Linked DNA regions of Arabidopsis thaliana. The protein of the gene in region 2 interacts with the protein of the main gene of each other region in a pairwise test. Each region holds a gene or a part of one and is shown on either strand. Other genes may lie near its edges.

Region 1 (12,910 bases), on a different chromosome or scaffold from region 2:
AACATCTAATATTTTGTCTACAACTTTATGTTTTTTCACCTTACTATATGATCTAGACAATCTTTTGTTAGGTAAAGTGTCTAGATATTCTTTCACCTAATTAACACGGAAACGTAAACTTGTACAAAAACATCTATTGATTATAGAAGAGAACCGAGCCGTGAGAGTCGTTTCTCGTCAAGACCGCACCAATCGACTCAAACATGAGCCAAACTGTACGTAGTTCTTATAAGGAACACAAACCTCCATCGTAAACCAACGTTTTCGATCGGTTCTAGCTAGACTCGCCATGCATGCATGTGCGTTGGTGCCCGTAATTACGTACACCAATCTTGATTGATATCAATGCTTATATGCCGTTAATCTTCATCTCGACTCTCGAGGTAGTAGTACTTGACGAGTTCTAAGTTCTTCTTCCGTTATGAGAAATCATATATAAGTTCTTCTATACATCTCGCTTGATTATTATAATCTTTCGCCTTTTAATTTCTCGTTTGATTATTATAATTAATGTTTATAATGAAAAGAATCATTATTTCCCAAAGCAAACGAATCATTTTGAGATAGACTTACAGTTATCACAAAAAGAAATCTAAACGTTTTCCCCAAGATTTAGCCTTTCGTCAGCATGTAATTACTCGTGACATATTCTCTAGCTCATATTTCTTCTTCACGCACGAGCAACCAATTTTGTTATATATGTATAAATCATCTTTGACAATTATATATAATACAGATTTGTTACGAGTATATGAATTTTTTTGAGGTACAGAAGCAAATCAACTAGTGAAACTAAATTAAAGAGCTAACCATCAAATAAAGTAAATTGAATTAAACAAACAAATCATACCACGTGATGACAGCCACCACATTCCTAAAGTTAGAAAATTGGCAAACCTGTAAAAAAGCATCACTTCCCCGAAATCGCAGGTCATATTTCTATGAAAACGAAAGAGAGTTATCTATATAGTAAATGGCTATATTCATATTTGCCCCACCACCCATGACCCATCTCAGTTAATAAATAGTTCTTCTATTCACCTCTATACTATAATCATTCACTTTATCTTATATATAGTCTATAAAACTAAACGTAATTCGCATGATTTTGCCTTTCGTTGCATGAAAAATCCTCCTTGACAATGTACAATTCGTTAGTACTACTCGATCAGTCGCCTTGACTCACGACATTTTCTCTAGCCACTGTTTTATCTTCACACACAAGTACCAATTTTAAACTGTTGTACTTAACTGTATAACATCCTTTATACGTAACGTAAGCCAAAAATTATGATCTAATCAGTTACTACAGATTAATAATAAGATTAATAACGGCCGGTCTACTAATTTTGAACACTTGTGCATGCATTATCTCTCGTTGAAATAGTAAATTAATGCAACTAACTTTACAAGATTAATCGAGGTATATTATAGTCTAAAACAAATATTTAAATTAATGCAACTAACTCTTGAAGATTAATCGAGGTAACGCATCACACTAATCATATTTAATCGGATAATACATATACTGTTAGTAAAATAAATTAAAAAAGATTTGGTAGATAAACGACAAAAATGTTTTTCGTCTTGTTGTTTTCGAGAAGCTTCTTTTTCCGGATTAAAAAAACATTATGCAATTCCACGTCATCAGCGCATTACAAACAATGAAAGACTACACACGACCTTGGGTCAGCATTCCAAAGACCCAACCCTGACTCGCCACGTCGACATATGCCAGCTATTAATGAAGAGGGTAATTCCGTAACTTACTCTAACCACAGAACCCTTGAATTTAAAGTGTAGCAGTAAAATCTCATTTCTTTGAGTTATCTCGTTTGTTCGGAGTTAGAGAGAGAGAGAAAGATATAGAGAGAACACAGAGAGGCGAGAGCGACGTAGGGTTGGTGTTTCGTACGGATTTTCTCGGTCAATCTTAGTTTCTCCGGCGAGAGATTGCTTTTCAGGTAAAAATGGCGGCGGTTTTGGTGTTTGTTCTTCACTTAATCTGTGTTCGATCTGCGTATGAACTCGATTTTTCCACTCGATTGGGTGGATCCGCTTCGTTTTGGTGTTATGGTTCACTGATAGTGTTGTATGTTTAGTTGATCTTTGCGATTTCGGATCTATTAGCTTCGTAGCTGTTTTGGTGTGTGTGTTCGTCTTCGAAGATATTTAGGTTTTTTTTTTTTGTTGCTTCAAATTTCTTACTGTTTCGTGCTTGTTTTCTTACTTCGTTTTCTGTTTAGGTCTTTGATTGTTTCTTACTAGGTTTTCTATGTTTGCTTTGGGCTGTTGAATTTGGTTTTCTATCTCTCTAGCTAATCACTGGTTTTCGTGCTTCTGAGTCGTTTGTTTTTGAAGCTAGTTAGGGTTTTCTTCTGTTGCTTCTATATTTCGATAGTTTTGTGCTTGTTTTCAATGTTTGCTTCTTATTTTCAAGGATAATTTTAAAATGACCCACTGTTTTTGGGTGGTTGTGTTATTTTCACAGGAATCATCATGGTGAGAAAGAGAAGAACGGATGCTCCATCTGAAGGAGGTGAAGGCTCTGGGTCTCGTGAAGCTGGTCCAGTCTCAGGTGGTGGACGTGGTTCACAGCGAGGTGGTTTCCAGCAGGGAGGAGGACAACACCAAGGTGGAAGGGGTTATACTCCTCAACCTCAACAGGGAGGTCGTGGTGGTCGTGGATATGGGCAACCACCACAACAGCAACAACAGTATGGAGGACCACAAGAGTACCAAGGAAGAGGAAGAGGAGGACCTCCTCATCAAGGAGGTCGAGGAGGGTATGGCGGTGGCCGTGGAGGTGGACCTTCTTCTGGACCACCGCAGAGACAATCAGTTCCCGAGCTGCATCAAGCTACCTCACCTACTTATCAAGCGGTGTCTTCTCAGCCTACACTGTCTGAGGTGAGTCCTACCCAGGTACCAGAACCTACTGTTCTGGCTCAGCAATTTGAACAACTCTCTGTTGAACAAGGAGCTCCCAGTCAGGCAATCCAGCCTATACCTTCTTCTAGCAAGGCTTTCAAGTTTCCAATGAGGCCTGGTAAAGGACAGAGTGGAAAGCGTTGCATTGTGAAGGCTAACCATTTCTTTGCTGAACTGCCTGATAAGGATTTGCACCATTATGATGTGAGTTTTGTGTTCCCTTAGTATTAGCTACCATACATCTAATGTCTATTTATAAATTTACCTGACCAACTGTGTTCTTTCTGTTAGGTTACCATTACTCCGGAAGTTACATCAAGGGGTGTCAATCGTGCTGTGATGAAACAACTTGTTGATAATTATCGTGATTCTCACCTTGGAAGTCGTCTTCCAGCGTATGATGGTCGAAAAAGTCTTTACACTGCTGGTCCACTTCCCTTTAACTCCAAGGAGTTCAGAATCAATCTTCTTGACGAAGAAGTAGGGGCTGGAGGTCAAAGGTCTAGTTCTTATGGTTTCTTGTTGATTTTTTTAATAAGGAAGTTTCAGAATAATAACATCTTTCCTATTTTACAGACGAGAAAGGGAATTTAAAGTTGTGATCAAGCTAGTTGCACGTGCTGATCTGCATCACCTAGGAATGTTTTTGGAGGGGAAACAATCAGATGCCCCACAGGAAGCTCTGCAGGTTCTTGACATTGTTCTTCGTGAGCTGCCGACCTCTAGGTACTGGTTACTCATCCTATGGATGTTTGCTTCTTTACTACCATGCTTGTAAGTCTCAGCTGGTTTAGTTTTGCTAACATGTTAGAATCAGGTATATTCCGGTGGGCCGGTCCTTTTATTCCCCTGATATAGGAAAAAAACAATCATTGGGGGATGGCTTGGAGAGCTGGCGTGGATTCTACCAAAGCATTCGTCCTACACAGATGGGCTTATCACTCAATATTGGTGTGATGGCTTGCTGTATTACATTCAATAATTTTTGATATCTGGTTCTCCTTGAATGTTTAACTCATGGTTGTGCTGCAATTTTGTCTGTTTTGTAGATATGTCATCGACAGCCTTCATAGAGGCAAACCCTGTGATTCAGTTTGTCTGTGATTTGCTTAACCGGGATATTTCTTCTCGACCTTTATCTGATGCTGATCGTGTTAAGGTATGAATCAATTGTCATTTTCTGTAGTAAGTGAAATGTTGTATTAATCTACTCTTCTTTGCTTAGTGACTTGGAATCTTCTTCTGTCAACAGATAAAAAAGGCTCTTAGAGGTGTCAAAGTTGAAGTGACTCATCGAGGAAACATGCGCCGGAAGTACCGCATTTCCGGTTTGACTGCTGTGGCCACTCGGGAATTGACGTGCGTATTTGTTTTAGATTTACTACTCTTATTTCGCGAATGTTGAACTTGATGAAATTAATTTTTACTCTCTGTTTTTATCCTTTTCAGATTCCCAGTAGATGAAAGAAATACTCAGAAATCTGTTGTAGAATACTTCCACGAAACATATGGTTTTCGCATTCAGCACACTCAACTACCATGCTTGCAAGTTGGGAATTCTAATAGGCCTAATTACTTACCAATGGAGGTAACTTTGAAATACGTCATCAGGTTTTATTAGCTCACCAGTACTTCCGATTCTAATGTGTTGCTGCACAGGTATGCAAGATTGTTGAAGGCCAGCGGTATTCCAAAAGATTGAATGAGAGACAGATCACTGCTTTGCTGAAGGTTACCTGTCAGCGCCCGATAGATCGAGAAAAAGATATCTTACAGGTATGTTTCTTTATTTTCGATAACTTTGTTTTCCTTCACTTGAATCAAGAGTATCTTTTTGTCCGCCTATCTTGATAGTCGTTTTAAATAATGTATGCTGGTGATAAAGCCTCATTGTGGAATAGATCATTGTAAAATCTGTTTATTCTTACTTGGTTGCATGTGTTTACTTGAAGTAAGTGATTTTCTCAATTCATATCTAACTTGTTTTTAATCATATAAACTTGTGGCTGAAAGGATGTTATGGAATGAATGGCTTAAAAACCTGTTTCTTCTTTACTTGGATGCATATGTTTGCTTGAAGAGAGTGATTTACCTTGAGATGATGCCTTTACTTCATAAATAGTGAGGCAGATTACCATCTTCAGAGTTGTGCTCTTAATTTAGCAGCGCGTGTGTCTTCTGGCTGCTGTTGTTGAAAACTCAATTGTTTATTGCTAACATTATACAATATTTTCTGATTTCTAGACGGTGCAACTCAATGATTATGCTAAAGATAATTATGCTCAAGAGTTTGGCATCAAAATAAGTACTTCTCTGGCTTCTGTTGAGGCTCGTATACTGCCTCCTCCATGGGTATAGTAATCGTTCCCATTGTCTCTTTGCTATTACACTTTTTCTCTGTATCTTAATGACTCAAATTAGGGTTCCAATCTGATTTTAATGTTCTGCAGCTTAAGTACCACGAGTCTGGAAGGGAAGGGACTTGTCTGCCACAAGTTGGTCAATGGAACATGATGAATAAGGTAACTAGACGAAAATGTTCCTGGTTTTCAACTATGCACTTACATGTTTCTTGCTTGTGTTACCTATATATACCTATGCTGTCATTTTTATGTGAATATTTTGTAAATCATGGCTGAGCTGTATATTTCCAGGTAATTGGCAAGAAAATTGTTTATTTATTTGTCTGTTATGAGACATATTACTCTAAAATGCTATTCTCTTGATATGAGTATGGGTGTGGCACTTGACTAGTTGCAGAGAGTATTTTGTTCATGTAGCTATGTAGATACACACTGAATTTGTCTTTGTTATTTTTTGAAAGTGATCACAACGTTTTCTGTTGTCTGGCTAATATGAGTCTTCTCTGCAGAAAATGATCAATGGTGGAACGGTGAATAATTGGATCTGCATCAACTTTTCTAGGCAAGTGCAGGACAATCTAGCGCGTACATTTTGTCAGGAACTTGCTCAAATGTGTTACGTATCTGGCATGGTGAGTCTTTGGAAGCACAAACTTGATCAGTTTATTAACCTTTCCTACACTGATTCCTTCCCTTTAATTTTTTATTTCTTACCTGCAGGCATTTAATCCGGAACCAGTCCTCCCACCAGTCAGTGCTCGCCCTGAGCAAGTAGAGAAGGTCTTGAAGACTAGATATCATGATGCCACATCAAAACTCTCCCAAGGAAAAGAAATTGATCTGCTTATTGTCATTCTGCCCGATAATAATGGATCATTATACGGTATGAGCCATGGTCTCGGATGTTTCATTGTCTACTTCTGCTTAGGAACACACTCTCAACTTATTTTCCTTAATAATATCCATTGCAGGTGATTTGAAACGCATATGTGAGACTGAACTCGGCATAGTCTCTCAATGTTGCCTGACAAAGCATGTCTTTAAGATGAGCAAACAATACATGGCTAATGTTGCGCTGAAGATTAATGTGAAGGTTGGAGGAAGAAACACAGTGCTTGTTGATGCTCTATCTAGGCGGATTCCTCTAGTCAGTGATCGACCCACCATTATATTTGGTGCTGATGTTACCCACCCTCACCCTGGAGAGGATTCAAGCCCATCTATTGCTGCTGTAAGTTAGCTTCTCCTTTAAGATCTACTTCTGTATATGGATGCTTTTGTTTATTTTCATGGCCTTAACCTTTTCAAATTGTGCTTGTTTTGTTGACAACGAAATTTTTGTTTTCAGGTTGTGGCATCTCAGGATTGGCCTGAAATCACTAAATATGCTGGATTAGTTTGCGCTCAAGCGCATAGGCAGGAGCTCATTCAGGATCTGTTCAAAGAGTGGAAGGATCCTCAGAAAGGTGTGGTGACTGGTGGCATGATAAAGTACGTGTGGATGTTATTTAATATTTTCGTGATTGGGTTTTAGCTTTAGCTTGCTCTTAAGTAACAGATCTGTACGTTTCTCCCCTTACTTTTGAACAGGGAGTTGCTCATAGCCTTCCGTAGATCAACTGGGCATAAACCACTAAGGATCATCTTCTACAGGTATTAACTCTTCTTATGGCACTTACTTGACTAAATAACTTTCTGTCTTTCTTTCTGAAATGTATTATATGGTTATTCTGCACAGGGATGGAGTCAGTGAGGGACAATTTTACCAAGTTTTGCTCTATGAACTTGATGCCATCCGCAAGGTAACAGTTACTTCTAACAAATGGCTTGTGTTGCGTGCTCGTTTTCTTCTGTTTAATCTGATTATTATTTCAACTCATTTCAGGCCTGTGCTTCGCTGGAAGCAGGTTATCAACCACCAGTGACATTTGTGGTGGTGCAGAAGCGTCATCACACGAGGCTGTTTGCTCAGAACCACAATGATCGCCATTCGGTGGACAGAAGTGGGAATATTTTACCTGGTGAGACAAGTTTGGATCTTTGTCAAGCTTTTTGTGCGTAGACCTAATCAGCTGAAAATCCCTTGCATTGGTTTTTAACCCCTTTGTTAATTGTAGGCACTGTTGTGGACTCTAAAATCTGCCACCCTACAGAGTTTGACTTTTACCTCTGTAGTCATGCTGGTATTCAGGTATAATTTACAATCTCAAATGAGTTTGTGGGTGAGAATTTATTTGAAGTGTTTAACAAATCAAAACTCCATTAACAGGGCACTTCTCGACCTGCTCATTACCACGTTCTTTGGGATGAGAACAACTTTACTGCAGATGGACTTCAATCTCTGACCAATAACTTATGTTACACGTAAGATTTCTTACCTTTGTAACATATTCCTTGTTACAAGTGTTTGCAAGATTGCAAGGAAAATAAGAGTAACATTTAAACTACCTTTTTGATTTGTACAGGTATGCAAGATGCACACGCTCAGTTTCAATTGGTAAGTTTTGTGTTTCCCATCCCTTAATGTCATCTTGATTTTGATATAAAGAAGAGAGAGATTTAGTATTCAATGTTTTTTTTTTTTGTTTTGGGATATTGTAGTTCCCCCTGCATATTATGCACATCTAGCAGCTTTTAGGGCTCGATTCTACATGGAGCCAGAGACATCAGACAGTGGCTCAATGGCTAGTGGGAGCATGGCACGTGGAGGTGGAATGGCTGGTAGAAGCACACGCGGGCCTAATGTCAATGCTGCAGTGAGGCCACTCCCAGCTCTGAAAGAGAATGTGAAGCGTGTCATGTTCTACTGCTGAGTTGATTCACCCTCTATCTATCTTTATGACCTAAATTAATGAAGAATATCATGTATGCTTTCTAAGACTTATCGTGTGTTTGGATATTTCATCACTCTTTCTCTATGAGTATGAGATGCTTTATGACTCTTGTTTGACAACTACTAAAATTTATTATTCAAAACAGACTTTGATCCTTTCTTTAACTCGTCTTAAATCTTTATTCAAGAGATTTTGTGTTTAGAGATGTTTAGGTTGTTTGTATTGTCGACCACACTACTACATTGTAGGTATAAGCGTTGAGATCCAGGACTAAAATCCTGACTACAATTCTTTATATGTAGTCAGGACTAAAATCCTGACGTTATCACACAAGTAAACATGTGGTTTTGATTTAGAGGTTTGCGTGGAAAATGCCTAAAGTGGAACATTTACAAATTTTAAATTAGGCTGATTTTACTGCCTCTTTTATGCTTTCTAGTTTCTCTCACCCTGTCGGATATTTGCAGCATTTATGGTAAATTCTTCAAAGCCCATTAATTGCCATATATCAATCTCTCTCACTGATTTCATGCGTTTGCCTTTCTTTTTCCCTATAATTTGAAAATGGGGTTTTTGAATTTTCATTGAGCTTCCCTTGTTTGGCAGTTTCTCTTCCATCTCTTAACCAGCAAAGCAATCGACAGAATCCATGGATGCCTCTCAGTCTCCTCTTCCACAGTTGCCATCTCTCTCCGGTACACTTAAAAATTCAAACTTTGTATATTGTTTTTGTGCTTACTTTGTTTGATATGTTGGTGAATATGGACACAGATCTTGAGTCTCGGATGCAAGTAATGCGGGTCTCTGCTCTTGATGATAACCAAACCGGTGAAACATTTTCTCAACGTGCTGAATGGTTTTACCAGAGAAGCCCTCTCCTTCTCTCACTCTGTCAAGATCTCTACGATGGTTACGCCACTCTCTTGGACCGTTTCAATCAAAACCCTAAACAAGTCATTCCTCATGACAATGATACCGATACTGACATCACTTCTGAAGTAGAGAGCATCTTGTCCTTTCAACAGATGGAAGTCTCCACTTGTGATATGCAAAAGAACATTGAAGACTTAGTCTCGCAGCTCGTTACTGCAAACTTGGAGAAAGATACCGCGAAGCACATATTACAACGCAGAGAACAAACGTTGCAAGAAGCTTGCAAGACAATTGGCTTGCTAAAGAAGCTTGTGATGTTGCTTGATATGGAGAAGGAAGTAGCTGTAGAAGAAACCGCAAATCTCGGACACAAACTTACTTCCCTCTTGGAAGAGAACCGAGAGCTCGCCAGTGAAGCGCTGTTCATGAAAAACGAAGCAGTTAAGCTTGCTAGGTGCGTTCTTAAGATGAGGGATGAACATTTTCACAAGATGTGTCATCTCCAGAACCAAATCTACGAGCTGCAGTCATCGAGAGAGCCTGTCTACGAAAATGAATCCTCGCAGAGCTGCTTTGGATTGGAAAATAGTAAGAAAAAGAGCAAGAAGAGAAAGATGAGTGAAACAAGAAGTGAAACTGGAGAGAAAATGAGATCCAAGTGGTTCAAGAGACTCAATACCATCAATCCCTTTACCAAATGTAGCATTACGCCATTATCTTCTCCCCTCTATCATGCTGCACTCTAAATTAGTTACTACTCTTTACATTGTATTTCTTACGATGGATAATAATGTCTGCCTATGTTCTATTTGCCTTGTTAGACAAGCAACATTTAACATCAAAATAACCTTGTGATTTTAGGTGCAAACTAAGTCGAACAAGCAAATTCCGGTAAAAATGTTCGATAATATATTATGTACACCGAATATATAAGAAAAGGTTCAATAAGACTACAGACTAAAACCCTATGATTCACCACTCATCTGACCACAATGGAGACATTGTTGTTGTGAGAAAGTGGGGGAATAACATACCGAAAGATTACTGTCTAAGTAGGATCATCTTGTTTGATGTCTTTTGTGTTTTTAACACTCTTTCTATACCAGGAATAACATACCGAAAGATTACTGTCTTTGTCTTAAAAGTCAAATATTTCACGAACCTCGCCTGAACCCTGCAACATAATACTATGATTTGAATTTTTGAAGGACCATCATAGATGACTCAAGCTACATAATATCTGCAACCAAAATCTCTAAACGGTTAAAAAAGAAGACGCAAAAACTATAATGAGATCGAAAAAGAAGCTTTTTAAGTTTATTAAACCCACCTAACTGAACCAACTAGCCCAACATATAAAATCCACAAAAGTCGAAACTGTTAAATACCCAAAATGTATCTTTTAATTAGAAACCCTCCAAAACCTAATTCTCTTTCTCTCAGATTTTCATCGTCAAGCTTTTGGAACACTTCCTCGTCTCTCTGCCATCGTAAGTTCCAAAAACTTTCTCTTCCTGTAGTTAAAACCCTAATTTATGGCTATGATGAGAACTTCTCCTAGAGATTCGATAAGCAATTTGCCAGATGAGATTCTTGGCAAAATCTTGTCTTTGCTCCCGACAAAAGTGGCTGCTTCCACATCGGTTCTGTCCAAGAGGTGGAGGAATCTGTTGGGTCTTGTAGACAACCTCTGCTTTGATGAGTCGATGGTTGTTTATCCCAACGAAGAAGAAGAAACAAGTGGTTCACTTCGCTTCTGTGATTTCGTAGACAAGACATTTGCTCTGTTAAGCAATTCTCACATCAAGAAGTTCTCTCTGTCTCGTGTATATAAGTATAACGATGATGTAGACGGTATGGTCCGGCGTTGGATTCGGACTGTAATGGAACGCGGTTTATTGGAAATACACTTGCACGCCACCCCCATGTCTTTTGTTGCCATAGAAACTAAGCTGTTAACGAGCAACACACTGGTTAAGCTCACACTATCCGCTCGATGTTTTGTTGAAGTAGAGCGTGTGTTTTTCCCTGCCCTCAAATCACTTTCTCTCTTCTCAATTCTGGGTGATTATACCAACTATATACGGCTCATCGATGGCTGCCCTGTGTTGGAAGAATTATACATGCGTGATGGTGATTATCCGTTCTTGCGGCTTACTTGTGGTACCAACGTGGAAAGTGCATCCCTCAAGCGACTTGTGATTTTTACCCATAATCCAAATGAAATGATTTGGCACGAACTGATTTATTTTGAAGCACCAAGTCTTGTCTACCTTGACTATTCCAGTTATGTCTCGGCTAAGTATGATGTTGTTGATTTCGATTTGCTTGTCGAAGCCAGGCTGAGTCTCAGGTTATGGGTGTCAACTAACGATTATGATTATTCTGATGATGATGATGATGATGATGATGATGATGATGATGATGATGATGATGATGATGATGATGATGATGATGATGATGATGATGATGATGATGATGATGATGATGATGATGATGATGATGATGATGGTGATTATTATATTGTAGAACCAAAGGCGCCTATATTTGGTGATGTTACAGAACTACTTGCGGCTATACGCAACATTACGACCCTTCACTTGTCTCCTGATTCCCTTGAGGTTAGTTTTTGCTTCGTCTTAGTGTTTGTTACCGGAGCTAGCAAGGTCTCTTACTTATTTATGGTTTTTGGTTGTGTTCGTTTATAACTTAGGTGTTTCATTTCTGCTGTAAATCCATGCCCGTGTTCAACAACCTCCTTAATTTATCTATTGAGAGTAACAAGGATAAAGGTTGGCAAGTAATGCCACTTCTCCTCAAGAGTTGTCCAAATCTACACACCTTAGTCATCAAGGTATGATATAAACCTTGCTGAGATTCTTTTCTGTTGTTAGTGTTGCCCCATTAATTTATTCATGTCAAATTGGTCTCTGGTTTCAGGGTCTTGTCCACAGAGTAACTAGTAGATGTGGAGATGCATGCGCTTGCATACCTAAGAAGCAGAGGAAGATTGTACAGAAAGAAGAGGCATTATGTTGTCTGCGGACATGTCAAGTGAAGGTGCTACAGATTTCAGAGTATGGAGGTTATTTTCAAGAGCTGAAACAGATGAGACATTTCTTGGGCAAGTTGGAATGTCTTGAAACCGTGAAAGTTGGTGTTCACGCAGAAAACAACAACAACAGTGAGTTCTTGCGAGCTAATGTGCTGACTCTTCCCAGAGTTTCAGCAAAGTGCAACGTCCACTTCATCTGATTTTCTTTCTTTATCTTTCTTTGTTATATATATAGCAATAGTTTATGGTTAAGAGAAACGCAGAATATTGGGGAATTATCAATTATGCAAGTTTAGTTGTGCTTGTGGCAGCAATCATCAAAACTTGCACATCAAATTGTATAAGTGACTCTTTTAGGTAAAAAATAAACATACCAGAAACACTTGACAAGGTTTGTCATCTCTAATTTACGCGCTGCCGTCTATGAAAATGTATCCTCACAGAGCTGTTTTGGAGTGGATAAAACTAAGAACAAAAGCAAAAAAAGAAAGATGATTGAAACAAGAGGTGACCATGGAGAGAAAGGGATCAAAGTGGTGAAACAATACTATCAATCCGTTTTACCAAATGTAGTATTAGCCCATCGTCTTCTCCGCTATATCGTGCTGCACTCTAAATTCATTACTACTCTCTACATTTGAATTTGCATAGGATGGATAAGTAATATCTTCTTATGTTCTATTTGCCTTGCTAGACGTAGCCGTGTTCTTAAGCTCTTCTAGTATTTCAAGTTGCTTTTGTAAAACTTATCTTTTGTATATCCATTGGATAGGAGAATGATATAAATTCTTCTTCCATATCTACTGAACCATCATAAATGACTCAAGCTACATAATATTTGCAACACAAAATCT
Region 2 (9,784 bases):
AATTTCATCTAAGCAAAATTCTTGGGCAGGTCCTGATCACTGGAAGTATCGAAAAACAAAAGGTATGCGCTTATATCTCTGATTTCAAGAAATAACATAAGTCCTCTTAGTTTTCGATTTTCTTCTGAGGGTTTACATTCTCTGAACTCTTTTTGCAGGTCCAGATGTTCAACCTGCTTCAGAAATTAAATCCTCTCCACCAGCGAAGAAAACCAGGAAAAAGAAGCAAGCAGAGCCTGAACTAGATTTTGCAAAAGCTTTGGAGGAAGAAATGCCTGATATTTTTGCCCCTCCAAAAAACCCAAAGACTTTACTTCTCCCAGCAAGTAGAACCCCTTGTCAAACGAAGCTTCCAGAGGATTGCCATTATCAACCTGAGAATCTAATAAAGCTATTTCTACTACCGAATGTGATGGTATGGCTTGCCAAACACAGACCAAGTCACTAGTTTGCTATTATTTCTGTGTTTTTTTATCTTTTCTTTTCCATTTTGTGTCATCTTTTCTGAATTTACTCTCCTGAATGATAACAGTGCCTTGGGAGGAGGAGAAGAAAAAACTCAGGTAACACTTCCAGTCATTAAGAAAATCATCACTTGTTGGTATCCGTGGCGGTTTATGAGGCGTATAACAGTGTCTTTGTTTTCTTTACTGATATTAAATTTCCGTAACAAAGGAAATGGTTTCAACAATTTACCACTAAATCTGTATTGGGTTTCTGAAAAAAAAATATTTATGTTACACTTGTTTTGTTATGTGCATATTCCAGGTGAAACTTCAAGACAGCAGCCTGATGATTATGAACATGGGGAATCCTGGGGAAATGATAATGTTTATGATGATGATGATGGCCCATTCGATGATAATGAAAATGATCAAAGTGATGCAGAGGATACCAACACATTAATCTCTCAGCCACGCCAGGTATGATAGATTGATCTGCATATGGTTACAGCATTACAAATCATTTTAAAAGGCTGTAGCTATCTATCTTAGGAATGAAACATTGTTGTAATTATCCTACACAACTCATGCTTTAGGTCAACAAAATTGATGTCCAATACGATAAAGCTTCAAAACAAGTTGATGTGCAAGTGCTAAAGGAAACTCTTTGGGAGTGTCTTCAGGAATCTCATCAACCTCCAATTCAGGTTAACCAATATACTCTGATTATCTCTCTTATGATTTACATGACTCATTCGTGTACTTCACATCAGCCAAGTTTTGTCAACATACAATCTAGAATTCCACACACATACATTCCTGTTTAGTGCAGTGCACCTTTTTCTTATGGTTCCATGCCGAAACTAACCCAAGGATGGCTTTTCCTTCTTTTCTGCCCATTACTGTGATGATATTAACAGAATCTGATTGTGCAGGATGAGGAACATCAACAAGAACCACCTGAAAGTAGATCTTTCAAAGTGCTATTGGCTAGCTTCCCAGATGATTGCCAAGCAGCCGAGAGAACCCAAGACATCTCACCACATCTATGTTTCATCTGCTTGCTGCATTTGGCGAACGAGCACAATCTCAGCCTCATTGGTTCTCAAAACTTGGATGATCTAACAATACACCTTGCCTGAAAGAAAAGTGAAGATAGACCAAAAGGAGAAGCCGAGTGTTTAGAGAGTGCCTTTGTGCTCATCACTATGCCTAATAAGTATGTTGTAGTTCAATGTAATGACTTGATTGTGTTGTAACTTTGTTCAAAATCCACTAATCCTTTGTTGTTTTGGTTACATGTTTTCATTCCATCTGATTGATTTATCTCCATCAGAAAACTTAAATACAATAGTATGAATCAAATTCACAGATACACTGAAACTTTTCTTTCGTGTGATAAGAAATCAAAACCTTTGGTGTGTCCTTAAGCAACCTCAGTGCCGCTTTTGGATTTAACAGTTGACTTGGTGGCTCCATCTTTGTATCCTTTCTGACGAGCTCTCTGTTCCCACATAGAAGTCAGCTTCTTCTGCTCCACAAGTGCTTTCTCCGCCTTCTCTCTTGCTTCTTCACAAGTCTCCATACCCGAGTTACACTTATCTGCCTCCTTTTGGTAAGATGATGTTATCTTCTTGGCCTCTAGCAGACCCGTGTCTACTCGTTTGTGTTTCTCCATCGATGCTGCTTCACGCTGCTTCAGTTCCTCTGTTAAAAGTTCAGCGTAGTTCTTCTCTGTGTCTTCGTTCACCTCTGGATCACGCTTTGCACAATCTGCGCATCAAAAGACAAGATGTTCTTAAAAGACTCATTTACTAAAAACATAGTCAAGAGTTTTCTTCCGGGAACTCTTTAACTGATGAATCCAATTGACAGAGAAACTCACCAGTGAATGAACCATTGCTGAGTCCTGCAGCAATATGAAAACAAGTAAAAAGAGTTAGGCTTTTTATTTTTGGTATCATCCGAAAAATACACATATAGTAGATAAAGAAGTTTGTAGATAGTAAAGAAGCAATGATCACAAGGCATTGTGGACAACCATATCAACCTCCATGAATTCATTAAGAGTGAATCACATACATGGATAAAGATAAAGATAAACACAGAGTAAACCACATACACTGCTATTAGAAGTCACAATGACCAGAACAAGTAAACCAGAAGCTAAATCACAACACAAGTCAGATCTCAAAGACTCAAACTTGGTGTTTAAACAAGAACAGCAGCCTGCAAACTTCAAATCTCCATGACCAAAAACTATAGCTTCAGATATACTTATCAAACCAAATAATCAGAGAAACAAAACAATTCTTGTAGATCTACACAATTCTTGTCTATCTATCTGCATAGAGATTCAAACTCAAAATCCCTCATCAAGCTAAAGCATGCAATCTGGCAACTCAATCACCAACTACTACTAAACAATACCAAATATGAAAAAGGTACTAAATTTGCTCTCGTTGTCTCAGGGAAAATGAATAAACTTTAGAGCCGATCAAGCAAGATCCAATAAAGGGAAATAGTGATTACCAGTTGGGATGGTGAGAAGAGGCAACGAAGAGCAATCACAGACGCAAGCAGAGCAAGAAGTGGCTGAAACGGCTAAGGCTTCCGTGAGGTGCCAGTAGAGCGGTGGACCAAGTATGTAGCCAATCATGCTGAGGGCCAGTAAAGCTAGTCCCACCTTCAACGCTGCCGTGTGCTTCGCCATTCGAGATCCGCTGATCTGGGTTTTTACAAAAGATTCCAAATTTGAGCTGTTGCAGTAAGGAGAATTGGATTTGAGTCTCTCTGATGGAGAGTATGGACTCTTGCACTCAGATTATGGTGTCGGTGGAGATTCAACTGAATGGTTTTCTATACTTAGGTATGGGACCAATAAAACAAAGTGTAAGTTGAGACTTGAGTTAATGGGTGGACTCTTTTTACTCGGTGATGTTTTTGACTTACAGATACTAATTTTCTAACTACGTTGAATCCCGAAGCTGTGTAGAGACATATCTATGACTTTATGTATTGACTATTGAGGATGTGTCTAAGGAGGATCCTCCTTATAGCGTTACAAAAGTGCTACTTATTAGATAACGTTAGGCGATGGAATTGCTACTTTGTTGCAAGGAAAATATGACTACAGGAATCTTTCTTCTCAAGAAGATGAGAATCTTTAGTTTGGGTTTATTGAGAGTGGAGCAACTAATGCTGCAATGGTAAGCTTCTTTTTTTGTCTCTTCTTCTGATTAGGATTCTGACTTTCAAATACAATCCTTCCCAGGAGCAGCGACATGTTCATTTGATGCAAACCCAACAGGTGGTTTCAATGTTTCTGTCTCCACAGATGATTTGTTTGGCAATGATACTGATGAGGTGCAGAAGAAAAAAAGACTCAAGATAGGAATGAGGAACAGACAATGGGCAGTATGAAACTTTGTCTTTGGATACTGATTGTGACAAAGGTGTATTTCTAAATAGGGCATGTAAAAAAATTCAGAGGAGATCAGAAGGTGTAGCAGAAAACCTGAAACTCTGGGAGAGCTTGACATAGCAAGCGGCAACAAGATCAAAACCAAAATGCTCTTTGAGTATTCAAATCAATTGTATTAAGTTTTCCCTATACAACACAATATTTCTCAAATCGAAGTGACACAATAATTTCACGTATAGACTTTATTCCCAACAAATAATTCACGATCAACCATACATTGGATAAAAGAGAATAGACGTCTAAATTTAACAACCTACTCTCAGTATAGTGATGTGTAATATCTTTCCCCATGTGTTTAAGCAAAGCTTCTTTAATGCTATTCCAAGATGGAGCAAGGCCAGTGACGTTTCCACATTGCAATCTCTTCTTTACAATTTAGCTTTCGGATTCCTCCATAGAACCCGTCTTCTTCGTTACCTTCCTCTTTATGATCTCTCATGATCATCGTTCTTCTCCACCTTGATCCGACTGTGTACTGGTTGAATTCCAACACTACCGTCTCTGTTTTTACCATTCATCAACACTTGACAATTTAGTACAACATGTGAATGCAAAAACTCGTTTAACACATTATCAGTAGACAAAGGTTAAATCAAGATGCAAGTGGGCAGAGAGAAATCCCAAAAATTATCTATTTCGATGTGATTTCTACTTTTATGTGGTCATGCAATGTGCCAGCAAAATGATAAAAATAAGAGATTTTTTTGGAGTGATAAAGAGACAGAATCATTGTTGAGCCCCACACCCATTAGTAATGCAAATTCCAACGATGAGGACATAAGTGGAGGTTTCAACATCAACTGAAGACACACATTTATCAAAATGTCAAGGAAAATCAAGACATATCATCACATTATCATCATCATTTGTCGTTTTGGGACCAATCTTAACAAGAAAAGGCATTGCTTGAATTGGCTCTCTTCAATGTTCACCCTTTTCAACTATGTTTTGGGAATTTAATGGACTTTATGAGCTGAGACAATGAGTAATGCATAGAATATGACAGCCAATTTTAAAACAACCAACCAAGACTCCATTTTTTAACCACAGAAGATGAAGATGAAGATGAGAACTCACCACTAAGATGGCAATGGCAATGGTTATGATCTCCATCACAGGATTCCAAGTGGCGAACAAGACCATACCACCATCCTACACAACAACATCACACAAGCTTTTTTCAGAATCAGATTGCAAGTTCAAACCAAAAGCATCATATTATTATTATTTACCATATGGGAACTCTTTGTTCCTTCTCCACTGGATTTCGATGTGATCTCCAGGTTTCAACTCTTTTAAAGAATCTGATACATGGAGAAGATGAGGTGATGCATCAATGGGAGCTGCTCTTATTCTATCCCATGTCACACCCTTTTCAATCGCAGATGCTCGTCTACCATGTGGTGGATACCTAAACTCCCCAATAAACGTAAACTTATGATGAGAAATAAGAAAATTTGTTAGCGTCAAATGTGGACATTAGATATTTTATACCTGGCTTGGAACGTATCCGTGTGAGTATCATAGCTGAGCTCCGCATCATAGCATGACAACATGAACCCTACATGTCCATTCTGCTCTTTCACCAAAAAAAAGCCTCTTAGTACTTTAATCAAATCCATAAAGCAAAAATGGAGCAACTATGTTTATGAAATGATTACCTCACGGTTGTAAACTTGAGCTGGGAACCAAAAACGACCTGTTTCAAGGGAGAGGTAGCAGCTCATGCTGGAATCAAGTGGCAGAGAAGATGCATATCCCCTCCTTTGTTTATCCTCTCGGAAAACGGATGAAAGAGATCGGATCAGAGAGATGATTTTGGCAAAACCAAGATTCCCAGTTTGATGATGAGGAGAATCAAGATGATATGTGGAAGAGGAGATATAGCATTGCCACTCTCTGTGAGCAGCAGGGCCAAGGATTTTGCCCCATTTGGTCTTCAAATGTTTCTCCCATAGATGATCACTAACACATCTCTCCCTCAAGGAGCTACAAACCCTAGCCATGCTGCAGAGTCCAGAGGGTGGAAGAAGGTCAAGAATGCAGTCAAGAGCCAGCTCAGGGAGGTCAAGAACCGACATTTGGTCGATCACCGGAGAGGCTGGATCGTGTTTGGTCTGATGTAGGGTGTTCATAAAGGGATTCTTGATGAAGTAGAAGGAGAGCAAGGTTTTGGTTTCAGATGCCCATGGAGGAAGAGAAAGAGATTTGGTAAAGAAAAAGAAAGAGAGACAAGTGATGAGAAAGTAGAGAAGCATTTAGACAGTATTATTGTGCTGCCTTTTTGATTTCTTGTTTCTGAGAGTATAAATAAAAGAAGAGGATAGATGGATAGCCAATTGGAATTGGAGGATCACCTAACCAACTCATGGACACAATAAAATATTCTTTATCTCTCTCTCTCTCTCTCTCTCTCTCTCTCTCTCTCTCTCTCTCTCTCTCTCTCTCTCTCTCTCTCTCTCTCTCTCTCTTGTTTTGGAACTTGAAATTGAATGAAGTTGCCAAGTTGTTAAAATCAAGAGAGAGAGAGTGTGTTGGACCCACAAAAACCCAGATTACAGGAAAGAAAATGCCTTAGAAACAAAGCCTAAATTGAAGGGGGTTACTTATTAAAGAATAAAAAGAAGAATTTATATAGAAAAAGGTCTACTTGGTGGTGGTGGCATTGGGATTTCCAAGGACAGTGGGAGGAGATAGAATTGGATCTGGCCAGACACAGAACAAAAGGTTCACTGAACCTACAATATTAAAAGTGAAGGAAAACTATATTATAAAAACATAACCAACCAATAAAGAAGAGGAAGAAGAAGAGATGGGGATGACCTTAGTAGTAAATAAACAATTATGCAAAAATAGTAAATAAGCAATGATCACAAGTCATCCTAAACAACATTATCAACCTCCATGAAGTCATTAGAGTGAATCCTATAAACCAGATTAAGGATATAAGCATACACCGCCATTCGGTGTCACCACGACAGCCACATGAAGTAAAACAGGATGCTCAACCACACCACAAGTCAGAGACCTCAGACTCAAATTTGTTTAAACAAGGAACAGTAGCCTCCAAAACTTTAACATCTCTAAGATCTTCAAAACTATAGATATCAAAAACTGATCATTGCCTACTTATCAAGCCAAATAACCGGAGATACTACAACAGTCAAAAACAATGCAAAATTCTTGTTTATGCAGAGAGATTCAAACTCATTCCCTAATCAAGCTAAAGCAGCTCAATCACCAGAAACTAAACCAACTACTAATCATTCCTACTTTCAAATTGCTAACAATACCAAATATGAAAAAGTAGTAATTTTACTCATTTTCTCAGGGGAAAGCAGTAAACTTTAGAGCCGATGAGGCAAAAACCAATCAAGGGCCATTGTGATTTTACCTTTGGGGAAGGTCAGAAGAGTCTGCGAAGAGGCGGAAACGGCTGAGGCCTACGTGAGGTGCCCGCCGGACTTTTAACGCCACCATACGAGATTCGGCGATCTGGGTTCCAAATTCGAGCTGGGATTTGGTGGAATTTTAGCTGTTTGCAATGGCGAAAATTGGAGAACCCAATGGATTCGAGACTCTGATTTTTACTGTTGCACTCAAATTTTGACGGTGGTTCAATTTTGGGTAAAGTAACCCATAAGAATTAAGAAAATGTAAATTGAGTTAATATGCTTTTTTTAGTTTTTTACTCCGTCATGTTTTGACTATTTTACTCCAAAAGATTCCGGAGCCAAATTCCGACTAATCTCCAGAGGCATGTGGCGGGTAACATTCACAGTCAGTAGTAAATACTATCCATAATTCAATGTGACAAATTCTTTAAAATGTTTATTCTATCCAAAGTTGGGGATTGGTTTCTAGCTGATTTTGCTTGGCAATGGTACTGACTCATAATAGGAATGGGGCAACTATGGCAAACAAAACCCCCCATACTAGACTTCTATGGATGTGGAATGATTTCGCAAGTTTGGCTAACTCAAAAGACCCCTTAATAATCAATATTCCTCTGGGCCCTGGCCATGCAATGAAATGTCTCTCACCTTCAGGTCTCTTTTCTAAAAGTCCTAGTTGCTTAAACTAACTCAGAGGAACTCAAAACCACAACTTCCAGAAGCTTTACATCTAAATAACATTACCCTAACTTATTTTTTATATCAATCAAGATCATCAAGTTGCAAATAGTTAAGCAAATTAGCTAAATCCGATTGCTATCAACCAGTTGAAAAAGATAGATAGAAAATGGCAAAGTGCATTGAAATGTATTCCAAAAGAGAGAAAACAATGTTGAAAGAGTAACGAGAGTCATCCAAAAGATATTAAACCAAACAACAACATAAGACTTTTCATAGAGTTTTTATGTCTTTAGTAAATTATTACTTAGCGTTTACGCGTAGGCGTACTAAACCCGTACTCTGTGGGGGCTGTTCTGTTTTCATTGCCTCATTGAAAACAGTGTCTCGAGTACTTCATTGCTTTAGTTGTCCAGATTCTGAAGCAGCTGAATTCGATTGTTAGCAGCCACTGGATCCTCCTACAAAAAAAACAGACAAGACACACATAAGCTTTACTATTCCCTGCATGAACCAAAACCATACAAATTCCAAAAAACACAAGAGATTGAAATCTTACAGCATATAATCTGGAAAAGGTGCCGTCAAACAGCAAGAAAGGCGTGTATCGCCTTATTCCGTTACGAGCCCTAATGCATATACCAAAAACTCAAACTGTTGTTTGCTTTTACAAAACCTAATCATTTGTATCAATATCAAAATATTATCACGAGGTTTAGCAAGAAAACCTGGAGTTCTGGGAGAGCTTGACGTAGCAACCAGTAACAAGGCTGAACAAGGATGAAGGAGGTCTGACCATGTTAGAAAGATAGAAGAGCACCTTCTTAAGGAGCTCATCGATAACGTAAAACCGATCAGCCAAGACGCAGCAGTAATAAAGCCCCTGATCCGTCGACATAATCTTGTCGAGTATGTATAAAGCAACCTGAACAACAAGTATTAAGTTTCAAAATGCTTTCTTTATTCTTCTTTGATTTATAGTCAAAATGAGTAGAAGTAGCGTGCGAAAGAAACTTACTTTTTTTGTTTCTGTAGAGCCAAACTCAATGGGTTTAACGCAGAAACCAACAACACCACTTTCCATTAGGTAACGATTAACAGCTCCATCTTCAGACTATAGAGAAGTGAGATGTTCAAAGTAATTTAGTGGGGTTTTCAATAGCATTTGTCACAAACAGATTATATTGTAAGAGAATATGTATGTGGTACCGCCTTCAACATATGAGCAATGACACCCAACGCAGCAAGCCTCATGCATTCGTCACTTTTATCAATGAGACCAGTGTCCATCAGAGGATAGAAATAATTTGGCATCTTAGCTGCAACAAATCAACCAACATAAGCAGAAAAATTTCAAAGACAATGCAACATCATATGGTTTGTTGCACAAGAGGAGAAAGAAATACCCCTAAGAAACTGACGGCTTGTGTCTGGGTGACAAGCCATGCTCTGTAACAGGAAAAACGATGATAACATCACAGAGCAAGTTTAGGCTTAAGCATTTATGAAAGAAATGGTTTTTAAACTTAAGAAAAAAAGAAAGGTGTGAGACCAAAACAAAACCTGGAACAAAAGAAAAACATTGTACACTCGAAGTGGATTCAACGGATGAGGGAACAATCGAAGTGAGATGTGTCCTGCGAGGTGTCTGTAGGCTTCAAAAACCTCCTGCATAGATTGAATTAAATTTAAAGTGAGTGTCACAAATATAGAGAAGTTTATACAGAAAAAAGATGGCAAGATTTAGAAACAATCAGTTTTAAAAAGCCAAAAGAAATAACCAA

What was found.
Region 1: the proteins of AT2G32560 (region 2) and AGO1 interact in a two-hybrid assay, tested with the Arabidopsis thaliana proteins (one study listed by BioGRID).

What each region holds. Positions count from the first base shown.
Region 1 is NC_003070.9:17,881,482-17,894,391, reverse strand, and holds AGO1 (Stabilizer of iron transporter SufD / Polynucleotidyl transferase), read left to right. Parts: upstream 1-1,795; 5' UTR 1,796-1,964; intron 1,965-2,491; 5' UTR 2,492-2,499; coding exon 2,500-3,135; intron 3,136-3,222; coding exon 3,223-3,431; intron 3,432-3,507; coding exon 3,508-3,657; intron 3,658-3,742; coding exon 3,743-3,882; intron 3,883-3,980; coding exon 3,981-4,090; intron 4,091-4,183; coding exon 4,184-4,290; intron 4,291-4,380; coding exon 4,381-4,519; intron 4,520-4,590; coding exon 4,591-4,707; intron 4,708-5,175; coding exon 5,176-5,283; intron 5,284-5,381; coding exon 5,382-5,453; intron 5,454-5,803; coding exon 5,804-5,926; intron 5,927-6,014; coding exon 6,015-6,177; intron 6,178-6,265; coding exon 6,266-6,525; intron 6,526-6,642; coding exon 6,643-6,785; intron 6,786-6,884; coding exon 6,885-6,947; intron 6,948-7,032; coding exon 7,033-7,096; intron 7,097-7,179; coding exon 7,180-7,315; intron 7,316-7,411; coding exon 7,412-7,485; intron 7,486-7,563; and 10 more. Other genes in the region: AT1G48405 (Kinase interacting (KIP1-like) family protein), read left to right, coding at 8,778-8,823, 8,900-9,747; AT1G48400 (F-box/RNI-like/FBD-like domains-containing protein), read left to right, coding at 10,537-11,622, 11,715-11,855, 11,942-12,256.
Region 2 is NC_003071.7:13,821,221-13,831,004, reverse strand, and holds AT2G32560 (F-box family protein), read right to left. Parts: upstream 6,343-9,784; 5' UTR 6,186-6,342; coding exon 5,589-6,185; intron 5,502-5,588; coding exon 5,422-5,501; intron 5,339-5,421; coding exon 5,160-5,338; intron 5,080-5,159; coding exon 5,005-5,079; coding exon of another isoform or gene 4,940-5,004; exon of another isoform or gene 4,429-4,939; coding exon 4,244-4,428; 3' UTR 3,745-4,243; downstream 1-3,744. Other genes in the region: EMB2795 (condensin complex subunit), read left to right, coding at 1-62, 159-415, 533-563, 769-923, 1,040-1,150, 1,379-1,585; AT2G32580 (transmembrane protein, putative (DUF1068)), read right to left, coding at 1,870-2,216, 2,329-2,352, 2,976-3,156; AT2G32550 (Cell differentiation, Rcd1-like protein), read right to left, coding at 8,405-8,461, 8,560-8,629, 8,729-8,925, 9,019-9,114, 9,210-9,319, 9,407-9,449, 9,564-9,668.